2 linked regions of the Astyanax mexicanus genome follow. The protein of the gene in region 2 interacts with the protein of the main gene of each other region in a pairwise test. Links are inferred from orthologs where the notes say so. Each region holds a gene or a part of one and is shown on either strand. Other genes may lie near its edges.

Region 1 (5,750 bases), on a different chromosome or scaffold from region 2:
AAATCACATTATTTACTACCTGCTTCTCAACAATAGTGTTCACTGTCCACTCCCAGGCTTCTGATTACTCGGGGTAAATCACTGCTGTGGGGGGGGGGGGGTAGTTATACAGTAGTATTTACAGCTCTAATGACATTAGTGTTGTAATAAAAGAGGTTTTAAGGAGCCATTCTTCACCAGTGAAAGTGCAAATGATGCCATTAAGCCCTGCCAACCCATTCAAACAGCAGCATTTCCCAGGAAAAACTACTTACAAGAAAGAAAGCAGGAATATAAACCACATAAACTCCATATAAATACAAATGAATCACTTTACCTCACTACAAAACACCTAAAACAACTTTCACCTACAAATAAATCTATATTTCCACCTATTATTACCAATAATAAACAATAGTGGAATATTAGTGCAACCCAGCTAAAAACCAATGCATTTTCAGCCTTTATCTCTATACAACGGGTATACTCCCCATATAAACTATCATTAAATCTGTAAATTGGTTTCCATAATTAGAGCAACTCACCAAAACAATCTGTATTTTCACATTTTAGCTCTTTAATCGCATAAAAATACCCCAATATCACTTAAACAATTTCCACAGCCAATAATTAGTCCAACCCACCAATAAAGTCTGTGTATTTTCATATTTTAGCACTTAAATCTCATATAAATAATTAAATGTCACTTAAATGATGCAACTCAACATTTTAGATCTTTACACAAAGTCAGCTGGTATAAAAACATGTAATGCATAATTTCACCACTTAAAAATACAAACATTTCACTTTTATATCAGGAAACTGGTTTCCACAGCCAATAACATCAGTACAACTCACCATACAATCAGTGTATTATAGGTTTTAGCTCTTTAGAAGAAAAACGCAGGTATATAAACCATATACAATTTCATTAAACCACAAACATACCAAGTACTCACTTATAAAGCTAAATATAAGACAATAATATTAGTACAACTCATCATAAAATCAATGTATTATAGGTTTTAGCTCTTTGCAAGCAAAAAAAAGTGATTTAGGTAAATCACATAAACTACCAATACACTAAATAAAAATGCAAATATTTCACTTATACAGCTTCAAATTTGTTTTCACAGCCCAAAATATCAGTACAACCCAACAATAAACAATGTATTTGCAAGATTTCTCTTTATAGAGTATAATTGATATATATATATATATACACAGTATAACGTATCATTAAACCACATAAAAACACCCAGTATTCACTTCTAAAGCTGCTAATTGGTTTCCACAGACAATAATATCAATACAACTCACCAATCAATCAATGTATTATAGGTTTTAGCTCTAAATACCAAAGAACAGCAACATTAAACCTTATTATCTCTGTTCAAAAACCAACAAGGCCAGATTGAGATGGTTGACCAGTTGACCTTTTGGTCAGTATATGATATTATTTTAGTGTATTAGTTTGAGGGTTTAGCTGGTCTATTGGTCTGTTACCAACCTTGACCCAAGTTGGTTCCCCAACATGAGCAGAATTAATTGTAACATATACTATACAGCTCAAAAGCTGGTTTACCAGCTATCAAAAACCAGCAACAACCGACAAAAAATGGTCTTAAACTTGAAAATATTAGCAGGGCATTGGTACAATTCACAAAAATCTATGTATTTTCAAGTTTTAGCTCTTTTCACAAAGACAGTCCATGTGTATAGCATATGAACCATCACTACACAGCACAAAACACATTATTTACTTATTCTGCTTCAAACTGGTTTCAATAGCCAATACTATTAGTACAACCCAAAAAAAAAAAAAAACAATATAGTATAGGTTTTAGCTCTAATTATCAACGAACAACCTAATTAAACCACCAAAAACCAATGTATTAGCAGGTTTAAGCTCTTTACACAAAAACTGTTGGTATAAAAACCCTACAAACATTGAATATCATGTTTCCAGACAAAATATTTGTACAACCACCATTTAATCAATGTATTTTCAGGTTAGCTCTAAATACCAATGAATACCCTAATTAAACCATATTTTCTTCTGTTAAAAAAACACTTAGAGCATCTAAAAGCACAAACAACCAGCACAACCAACAATTAGTAGAATTCACCAAAAATATATATATTTGCAAGTTTTAGCTCTGTACACAAAAACAGCTGATAAGGAAACCATATAAACTATCATTACACTGCATAAAAATACACATATGTCATGTATAACTTACTGCTTTAAATTGGTTTGTACAGCCAATACTATTAGTACAATCCAACAAAAATCATTGTATTAAGTTTTAGCCTATAAATACCAATGAATAACCTAATAAAACCACCAAGTTTAAGCTTTTTCCACAAAGACTGTTGGTATAAAACCATAAAATCAATGTATTTTTGTTTTTTAGCTCTAAATACCAATGCATAACCTAATTGAATCATATAATATCTGATGAAAAAAACACATTGATCAACAAACACCAGCTTAGACCATCTGAAGCTACAAACAACCAGCAAAAAACACCAAAAACTGGTCTTAAACTAGAAAATTTTACCAGGACATGTTTTCCAACATTGGTACAATTCACCAAAAATATATGTTTTAGCTCTTTATACAAAGACAGTTGGTATATAAACCACACAAACAGTGGAAACCATGTGTGTAGTGACAATAAAATTAGTACAACCAGCAATAAAATCAATGTATTATAGATTTTATCTTGAAAAACCAATAAATTGACTAATTAAACCACAATATCTCTGTTGAAAAAACACTTAGACCATGTAAAAGCACAAACAACCGACAAACAAACAACAAAAACTGGGCTTAATCTTGTATATTTCAGCAGGACATGTTGTCCAACATTAGTAAAATCACCAAAAAAACACTGTATTTTGATTTTTAGCTCTAAACACCATAGCCAAGTCCAATAACACCACATGTACCCCCTCTACCTGGCCAGTAGTACAGGTGGTTCACCAGGTATCTCTCCGTAGAAAAGTCACTTACTTTGTACTTCATCCTGGCTACGTCACCGTCTGTCCTCCTGGCGCGAGACGGGTGAAAATATCCCTCAGAAACGTTTAAATAAATAAAACAACGCAAAAAGCTCGGACCCGAAATCCACGACGTTTAAACGACGTCTTTTTAAACGGCCATCGCGAGCGTAACGCCGTCAGTACGCTCAGAACGCGCCGTAACGCACCGACACGATACAATGTTTCCAACTCGGCCTCGCGCGCGCCCGCCTCACTGCCTTCTGAGCAGCACGCGCACGCTACGCCACGAACTGCTAGCCTCATTTGCATATCTCAGCGCCTATTGGTCGAGACAGGGAAAAGCCCAGTCCCCGGCGTGACATCACTCAGCCAATGAGAAAGCTCAGATTTGAATAACCAACTGGGGAAATTATGACATAAGGGGTTTTGAGTCACGAGCTAAATTTACCCCACTGCCTTTTACTCATTTACAGTAAACTCTGTAATCTATAATCTATCTATTTATCACAATATAACACTTCAGTTTCTGAATCAGTTTCTCTGATTTTGCTATTTATAGGTTTATGTTTGAGTAAAATGAACATTGTTGTTTTATTCTATAAACTACAGACAACATTTCTCCCAAATTCCAAATAAACATATTCTCATTTAGAGCATTTATTTACAGAAAATGAGAAATGACTGAAATAACAAAAAAGATGCAGAGCTTTCAGACCTCAAATAATGCAAAGAAAACAAGTTCATATTCATAAAGTTTTAAGAGTTCAGAAATAATCAATATTTGGTGGAATAATCCTGGTTTTAATTACAGTTTTTTTTCATGCATCTTGGCATCATGTTCTCCTCCACCAGTCTTACACACTGCTTTTGGATAACTTTATGCTGCTTTACTCCTGGTGCAAAAATTCACAAATGGTTTGTGACCTTCCATCTTCCTCTTGATTATATTTCAGAGGTTTTTAATTTGGTAAAATCAAAGAAACTCCTCATGTTTAAGTGCTCTTTTCTAGCGTTATATACAGTAGAAGTCAAAAGTTTGAGCACACCTTCAATTCACTGTTTTTTGTTTCATTATTTTAAAATGTTCTGCATTCTAGATTAATACTAAACTCATCCAAACTATGAAAAAAGTAGCTCCTCTTGTTTAGATTATCAGTTTTACACATCGAGAGTTAATTACTTGAATTTCTTGCCTCTTAATAAAGTGTTTGAGAGCATCAGTTAAAGTAAAGTAGTGAAGAGGTAGAGTTACAGGTATACAGTGAATAGTGAATATTTGAGTAATGTTCTATAATAATCCAGATTATGAGAAGCAACAACTACTCAACTAAGTAAAGAAAAAATACTTTGAGAAAAAATGAAGGTCAGTCAATCTAGAAAGAAGATTTTCAAGAACTTTGAAAGTATCCTCAAGTGCAGTCACCGCAAAGAGCATCAAAAACATTATAATGATGAAACTGGCACTCATCAGGACCAACCCCTTGAAAGAAAGAGCAAGAGTTTCTTCTGTTGTATGAGAAATTAAGTGGATAAATAACAGATATAAGTGCTTTTCTTAAGTGAGTTCCCTTCACTGCATTGTGTGAGTGGCAAAGCTCTTACTTTCACTATTAAACAATCCTGAGTTGTAGTGCTGTTTCTCTGCCATTTGCATGATTTTCCCAAATGTTCGAAATTGTTTTCCCATTCTGAAAGATGATGTTCTTCCACTGTTTAGTAATAGTGTGTTGGACATTTCTTAACCTGATCGATTGATTTTAGTAGTTTCAGCTACAATCTCTTTAGATGTTTTCTCTGATTTATTGATTTATGTCGCTTAGTTAAATCCAGGTGGTGACCTTTTTTTTGGCCGGGCAGGTTATATGATTTCTGTGTAGTCAGAAATCCTATAAATATGATAAGGCCATCAAAAACAATGGAATGATGAAACTGGCTCTCATCAGGACCGCTCCTGGAAAGGACGAGCAACAGTTTCTTCTGTTCTATAAAAACTAGCTAACTGGATGAATAAGACACATTTTTAAAGATGCTAAAACAGCTTTAGTTTGATAGAGAAAGTTAAGATTGGACTCTGGAGCAATTGAAGGAGATCATTAGCCTCACTGATAACCCTGTAGGAATGTAACAGTATTAGACGTTATCCTGACATAAATTTTTTGCCATCTGACATCCAACATTCAACCTAAAATTATCATCTATTGACAATGGTGAACAGCACAGAAAAGTGGTTCTCTTAAGGCAACGCAGCTGTTTTGTCACTTTAATTCCTTCAGTTCTCTTCACTACATTGTGTGTGAGTGGTAAAGCTCTTACTTTCACTATTAAACAACGTATCTGTAAGTTCTGGTGCTGTTGTACAATTTCACCAAACATTTAAGTGATCCCCGATCTCAATCATTCAGGATTTTTTTTTTTCCATTCTGAAATTGGATGTTTAATAATGAAACCTGATCTATTTTAGTATTTCAGCTACAATCTCTTCAGATGTTTTCTCTGCATTATCGATGCATGGCGATAGTTTGATGCTTCTAAAACAGATGAACAGAATCTTTTTCAGAGTCTTTCCACCTGGCTGTTTAACTATTTGAGAAGCTACTCCCTGCATCAGTTAGGGTCTTGTAAATATGTTAAATATTAAACCTTTTTAAACACCAAAAGACACAGTATTGTAATAATAACCGCACTACATGTCTTTAGTTGAATGGTATAGAAATATATGCGGTTTCCTGTGGCTTCAGCCGCCGGAAGATGATTAAGCAAAC
Region 2 (5,750 bases):
ATTTATAAACTGTCACTGTCACTGAGTTCACACTACATGATTTTAGACCTGATTTTAAGACTTTCGCCAACCTGATTTGGAAAACACCAACAGAGGTCTCGTATTGGAGGCATTAGTCGCTATGTGTGAAAGGCTAAAACAGGCAGTCTGAGTGATTTCCAGGTGATTGTCGATCCCTTGCAAGCTCCCAATACATTTCTGGCAGGTTTAATATCTGGACCTACTGGCAACTACCACAGCCAATGAGAATGCATGAACGCATGACATGAAGAGAAAGCTGAAGAAGGAGCTATACACCTCAGTCTTTATCCATATACTTTTAAATATTATTTTCCTTATACTTATATCGCTTGTTTCTTTCCAACTCTCCATTCTGGAAGAAAACAAACATGTCTTGTGCATTGTGTAGCACCAGTTCTTGAATGTTTTTTCCTGACCAAACGTGTTTTTGGAGATCCAAAATACATTTAGCGGTTCTTCAATTGAGGAACCTTCCAGAAAGTTTCAAAGAACAAAAAAAAATAATAATAATTCTTGAAGGTTATTTAAAACACACTCAAAAAACTCACACACATTTTAACAGTGTGGGTTCCTCCTGGTTAAAGACCCCGTGTTGCTGATCAGTCATGTAGTAAAATCTTAGTGTAAAAATTCCCCATTGTGTAGTGTTTAAAGATTAAACATGAAAACCATCTGATGACTCTAAAAGTCATGTAGTGTGAACCTGGCATTAAATGTCCTGACAGTTTTTATTAGAATTGATTAGTAGTGCTAATTCTTCTGGTTTATTTGTTTCCTTTGCTGCGAGATGATGTGCTGGGTTCTGACCTGGTGTGTTTGAGCGTTGAGGTGTAGGCACATTCTCGTGCGACCTGTCGAGCCAGCGAGAACAGCTCCACCCGTCTTAACAGCAGAGCATTGTCCCGGATACAGAACTGGGCAGCTGCTTCATTGATGATCATCTAAGCAGGAAGACACAAGCAGAAGCATTAAGATGCCAGAACTGATCCTTACCACGTTTAAATCATCTGGGTTTTATAACACCCACATTTGTCAACATACAAACCAATTTATATAAAAACTACAAAGATCTTACAGTGATGTGGTGGTTGTTTTTAATACTTTATTTTATGTTGTGGCCATAATGTATAAGTTCATGGCATTAATTATTATTTTGTGGGCGCATGAAACTTAATGTTCTCATGGTCTTCATAGATTATAATCAGTGTATTATTTTTTGGATTTAACATATTATCTTATGGCCTAAATATTGTATCATGTGGCCTTATCTCATTGTCTTAATAAATTACCGGTATGTCATGTCCTCTATGTATATTATCATATGGCCTTAATATATAATTAACTATCTTTAACACTGTCTTCTGGCCTCAATATATTATCTTGGACCACCATATCACCATGTGGTCTTCAAAATAAACTACAAACTTTTACTTAGATATAAAACCCCTACAGATATAATGATGCACTTTTGACACACCAGCCTTTGCAGACTATGGAATCAATATTCTGATTTTAATAATTACAACAACAAAACAACAAAAATTAGTAATTTACAAAAAATATACTTTAATATCTATTTCTCCTGGGTTCCAAATGCAAAAAAAAAGTTCTACCCTTTATACCACATGTGTCAAACACAAGGCCCGCGGGCCAAATGTGGCCCGCCACGTCTTTTTATGTGGCCCGCGAGAGCTTGTAAAATCTTAGTGTCTATAATAAATAGGTCAGAAGCGTTCTTTGACCAAAAAATACATTTCCCACAATGCTTGTCGATTGTATTACCCGCAAAGTTACGGCTTACTGCCACTACACGGCAGTGTAGTCATTGATGTGGAAACCCTGCCGGAGGGAAGGTGTAACTTCGCGGGTGGAATTGAGACATGTTTATCCCATAATATCCAGAAAAAGAAAAGTTGATGCAGACGGACGGCTGTGCTTCAAGGCGAAAGACCGGTATGCATTTTGTGTTACTGACCAAAATAAACGCTTTTTAGAAGAGATATAAATTATGTGTAAATATTTATAAGACAATAGCTGATAAAATCTGTTTTAATGAGGTTAATAAACTTCACTGTGACATCGCTAGTCGCAGTTTCACCTCAGCAAAGGACGAGGAGGTGAATCACTTATCTAACCAGCCTTTACTGATTTCTGCCCCCAATAACCCTTTCAATAACCTCCAATAGCCTTTAATAGTCTCCAGTAGCCTTCAACAGTCTAACCTTGCAGCCGTGGTGTGTTCTAAACTCCGTAGTTATAAACATCCTGAGGTTAGCAGCGCGCTAACTGACCTGTTTATAATGTAATCCGAGCAGTGACTCCGGGATGGCTGCTCTAAACTGCTGCTGTTAGCTGCTTGGGCTGAAAGATGAACTGTAGAGAGCTGTATTATCCGGTTAGTGGGGTTATTTTATTTCATACACAGAAGAACTTAAAATTTTAAAAACGCTCCAGACTGAGTCCTGTAGCCCGTGGCTGGGCTGTAGCTCTGACTCAGTAAAGACTGTGGGCTTGTGCTGCTGCAGCTCCCACTAGTGGTTGGATGAGGAAATGCTAAATCTGTCACAGCTCACAATTTTTGATTTTATATTTATTAAGCCTCTTTTCAGTATCAAACGTTTTGATCAAAGTTAATATAACTTGTATTTTATGTCATTTCTATTCACTTGTATAGTTTGGTTCTTGATTGATGGAGTTTTTGGATTTCATAACAGGATTTATGTTAATAGAGCAACAAGCAAACATTTTTTCCATGCAACTGTAATATTTGATTGAATAAATAATATATTGAGAGTTATTTAACATTAAGGAGTAATTACATTCATTTACATATATTACATTTGGTTACATTTTCTTATATTTATAAGTTACATCTGGCCCTCGGAGGACAGCCAATATGCCAATGTGGCCCTCGGCCAAAATGAGTTTGACACCCCTGCTTTATACCTTTCCGCTGCCACATCACCAGCCTAATCTCTCTGGCAGCAGCACTGTGACAGCTCCTCTGAGACTGGTGGAGCATATGGCAGGTTGGCGTTGGAGCTAAAGCGCAGCAGCCAGGAAGCTTACAGTAACTTAATCACAGTTCCCCAATCTCCCCAGGTGTACGTACCTCGTGATGAGTCAGCTGCTTGCCCTCTCGTCTCTTGGAGTCGAAGCGTCCGTAGATGAGGCTGTACTTGCGGATCTCCTCCTCTTTGCTCTTGTCTTGAGGCTCCAAGTTGAAGATGTGTCCCACTGTCTTGGCCATCTTCTTGTTGAGCCTCAGTAAAGTCTTTACCTCACCCGGGTCAGCCTGGGGCATGGTCCTGAGCAGGCGATCCACGCTCTCACCCACGGCCCGTGCCGTCTCTGGGTCCAGCTGACCGCCAGGCCATGGGGAGGCTGCTGCAGTGGACGAGGAGGAGGATGAGGACGAAGTGGGTGGTGTCGAGAGGCCGATGGGCCTGTTGTGAACCGTAAGAGGCAATGGAGGACTGGGCTGCTCCTCATCGGCTCCCACGCTTCCATCTGGGTCTGGGCTGAGCCAGTGCGGCTCCATCGGGCTCAACTTGTCCCTATATAGATGATCGGGTGGTAAAGGTGATGCCTGAGAGCAGGGGCTTCTAGGGCTTCCATTGTCTCGTAATGGCGTAAGGCAGGACCCTTGATCTTCTCTATCACAAGGCGACCCTGGTTGACCATTGCTCAACTTTCTTGACCCAACGACAGCAGTTCCTCCAGCGCTGCTGCTGTCTATCTTAAAGAGTGGGATTCCTCCAGCAGCGACGTTTGTGGCCAAGGGCTGGTTAAAGATCGTAGGGTTGGCCGCCCAGTCACGCAGGGCCTTTTGGAGGCGACGAACATGCAGGGGCTTGGTGGCCATGCCTACCAGGGCCATGATCTCCAGGAACTCCTCTTCACCTGCCTCACAGAGCTGCTGCACGTCGTCACCACCCTGCTGGATGAAGGTGTCATAGTACATCAGCAGGTTGGCCCGCTGCAAGACCCGGTACAGCTGCAGCTCGCCTAGTGTCCTCGGCAGCGACATCCTGGGTGGCTATATGGCTGGATGAGAAGTGACCATAAGAATAACATTATAATGAACAAATGTTCTGTTTAAACCCACCAATGAAACTACATGTGTCTTCTGACTTTTATATGGAATGTTACTGATTGTAAAATAGCAGCAAAACCTCACTGGATCCCAAGCTCTAATACACCAGCCAACAGATACCGGTGCTGACCAGAATCACAATGGGAGTGATGAGAGCAATGTGAGAGAGCACCACCTGATGTACCCAACCAGAGAGAAAAAGCATGACCAACTGTGCTCTTTTGAACTCTTGCTGCTGATGGTGAAGCTTAATGACCCAAGATTCAGCTGGTGACATTTATATTGAACTGCCCACAACTCTACGTGTGTGTGTGTGTGTGTGTGTGTGTGTGTTTGTGTGTGTGGGCTCAGGAGGTAAATTCCTTGGAACTGGCAATCATGAGACCTTGACAGTATTGTAATAACAGTGTGGGCGCATGTGGGTTAAACATTTATGAGGAATATACATGTTCCCTTTTAGGTAAAAAAAAACTGCTAAACCTATACAAATATTTGTATTATTACAAAACCATAAAGATTATATCTAAAACAAAATTAACAACAATGCCAGTCAAATAAATAAACCACTATATTAAGGTTAAAGCAGTCAAATTAACCTTTCAACTAGCGAGGGGTGATGAGATCTAGCTGTATTTTTGACAATTGCCACTGTTGTTTAGTTTTATTGTAAAGGAAAAATCCACACATGTTACTGTAAAATATAAACCAAGATTACTTCTTTTTTTATTATCATCTTCATTTATTAAATTCTCCTTGTTATTATGTTTCCATAAATGTGTGAAATAATACACAAACACTAGTTGCCGCTGGTTAAAATGAGGATGTAAGGTTTGGAGTAAGTTACATGAGCGAGTTTAATTAGCTAAACAGTATATAATATACTACACTGGCCGAGATAGGGCTGCACAATACTGTAAAATATCTGACACTGCTTTACTTAAATGTGTTTTATGAAACATACTGCAATATAAAAAAAATGTTTGACATTATATTAGCTAATAACGTACTGTGAGTACTAGGGGTGTGCCATATAGTATCATTCGCAATAATATCGCCAACATTTTGGAATTTCTTGAACAATATTATACAATAAAAATATTGTGCCATATCACCCACCCCTAATTATCACATACTTGTTTTGCTGTTGTCAGCAAAAGAAAAAAAATCACACTATTCTCATTTTCCATTATATATCTACTAGAGACAGATTATATCTGTCCAGTATTTTTCATTTTACTTTAATCCTGGATATATGGAGATATATAAAGTGCATTATTAGCAACATGACATTCTGGATTATTGATTTCTGTTACAAATCTGATAAAATTATTGTATTTTTTAATATCTCAGTTAGGGGTGTGCCATATCATATCATATAACATAATAAAATTTAATTTTAATTTTGTTGCAGTAGTGTATTCTTGAAATAAGCGTTTGAATTCAGTGTCTTGTCATTTTGTCAAGAATATCATTATCGAAAATACCATACAACATTGTGATATTATTTTAGGGCTTTATCGCCCACCCCTAGTGTCTACCCAATAAAGGAGTAAATAAATTATATTGCCCTGTCATTGAGGCAAAAGTTTTTAAAAATATTTTTTTGACATTGCACAAGACAATGCTCGTCCCT

Evidence for each region.
Region 1: the proteins of nab2 (region 2) and nedd9 interact in binary tests that used the Homo sapiens proteins (3 or more experiments, as listed by UniProt). The two-hybrid records come from large-scale screens. The link is inferred for Astyanax mexicanus from reciprocal best matches to the Homo sapiens genes NAB2 and NEDD9.

What each region holds. Positions count from the first base shown.
Region 1 is NC_064410.1:63,490,729-63,496,478, forward strand, and holds the start of nedd9 (enhancer of filamentation 1), read right to left. Parts: upstream 3,245-5,750; 5' UTR 3,011-3,244; coding exon 2,999-3,010; intron 1-2,998. UniProt on the Homo sapiens protein: Scaffolding protein which plays a central coordinating role for tyrosine-kinase-based signaling related to cell adhesion. As a focal adhesion protein, plays a role in embryonic fibroblast migration.
Region 2 is NC_064431.1:14,543,938-14,549,687, reverse strand, and holds the start of nab2 (NGFI-A-binding protein 2), read right to left. Parts: upstream 4,102-5,750; 5' UTR 4,052-4,101; coding exon 3,134-4,051; intron 963-3,133; coding exon 829-962; intron 1-828. UniProt on the Homo sapiens protein: Acts as a transcriptional repressor for zinc finger transcription factors EGR1 and EGR2. Isoform 2 lacks repression ability.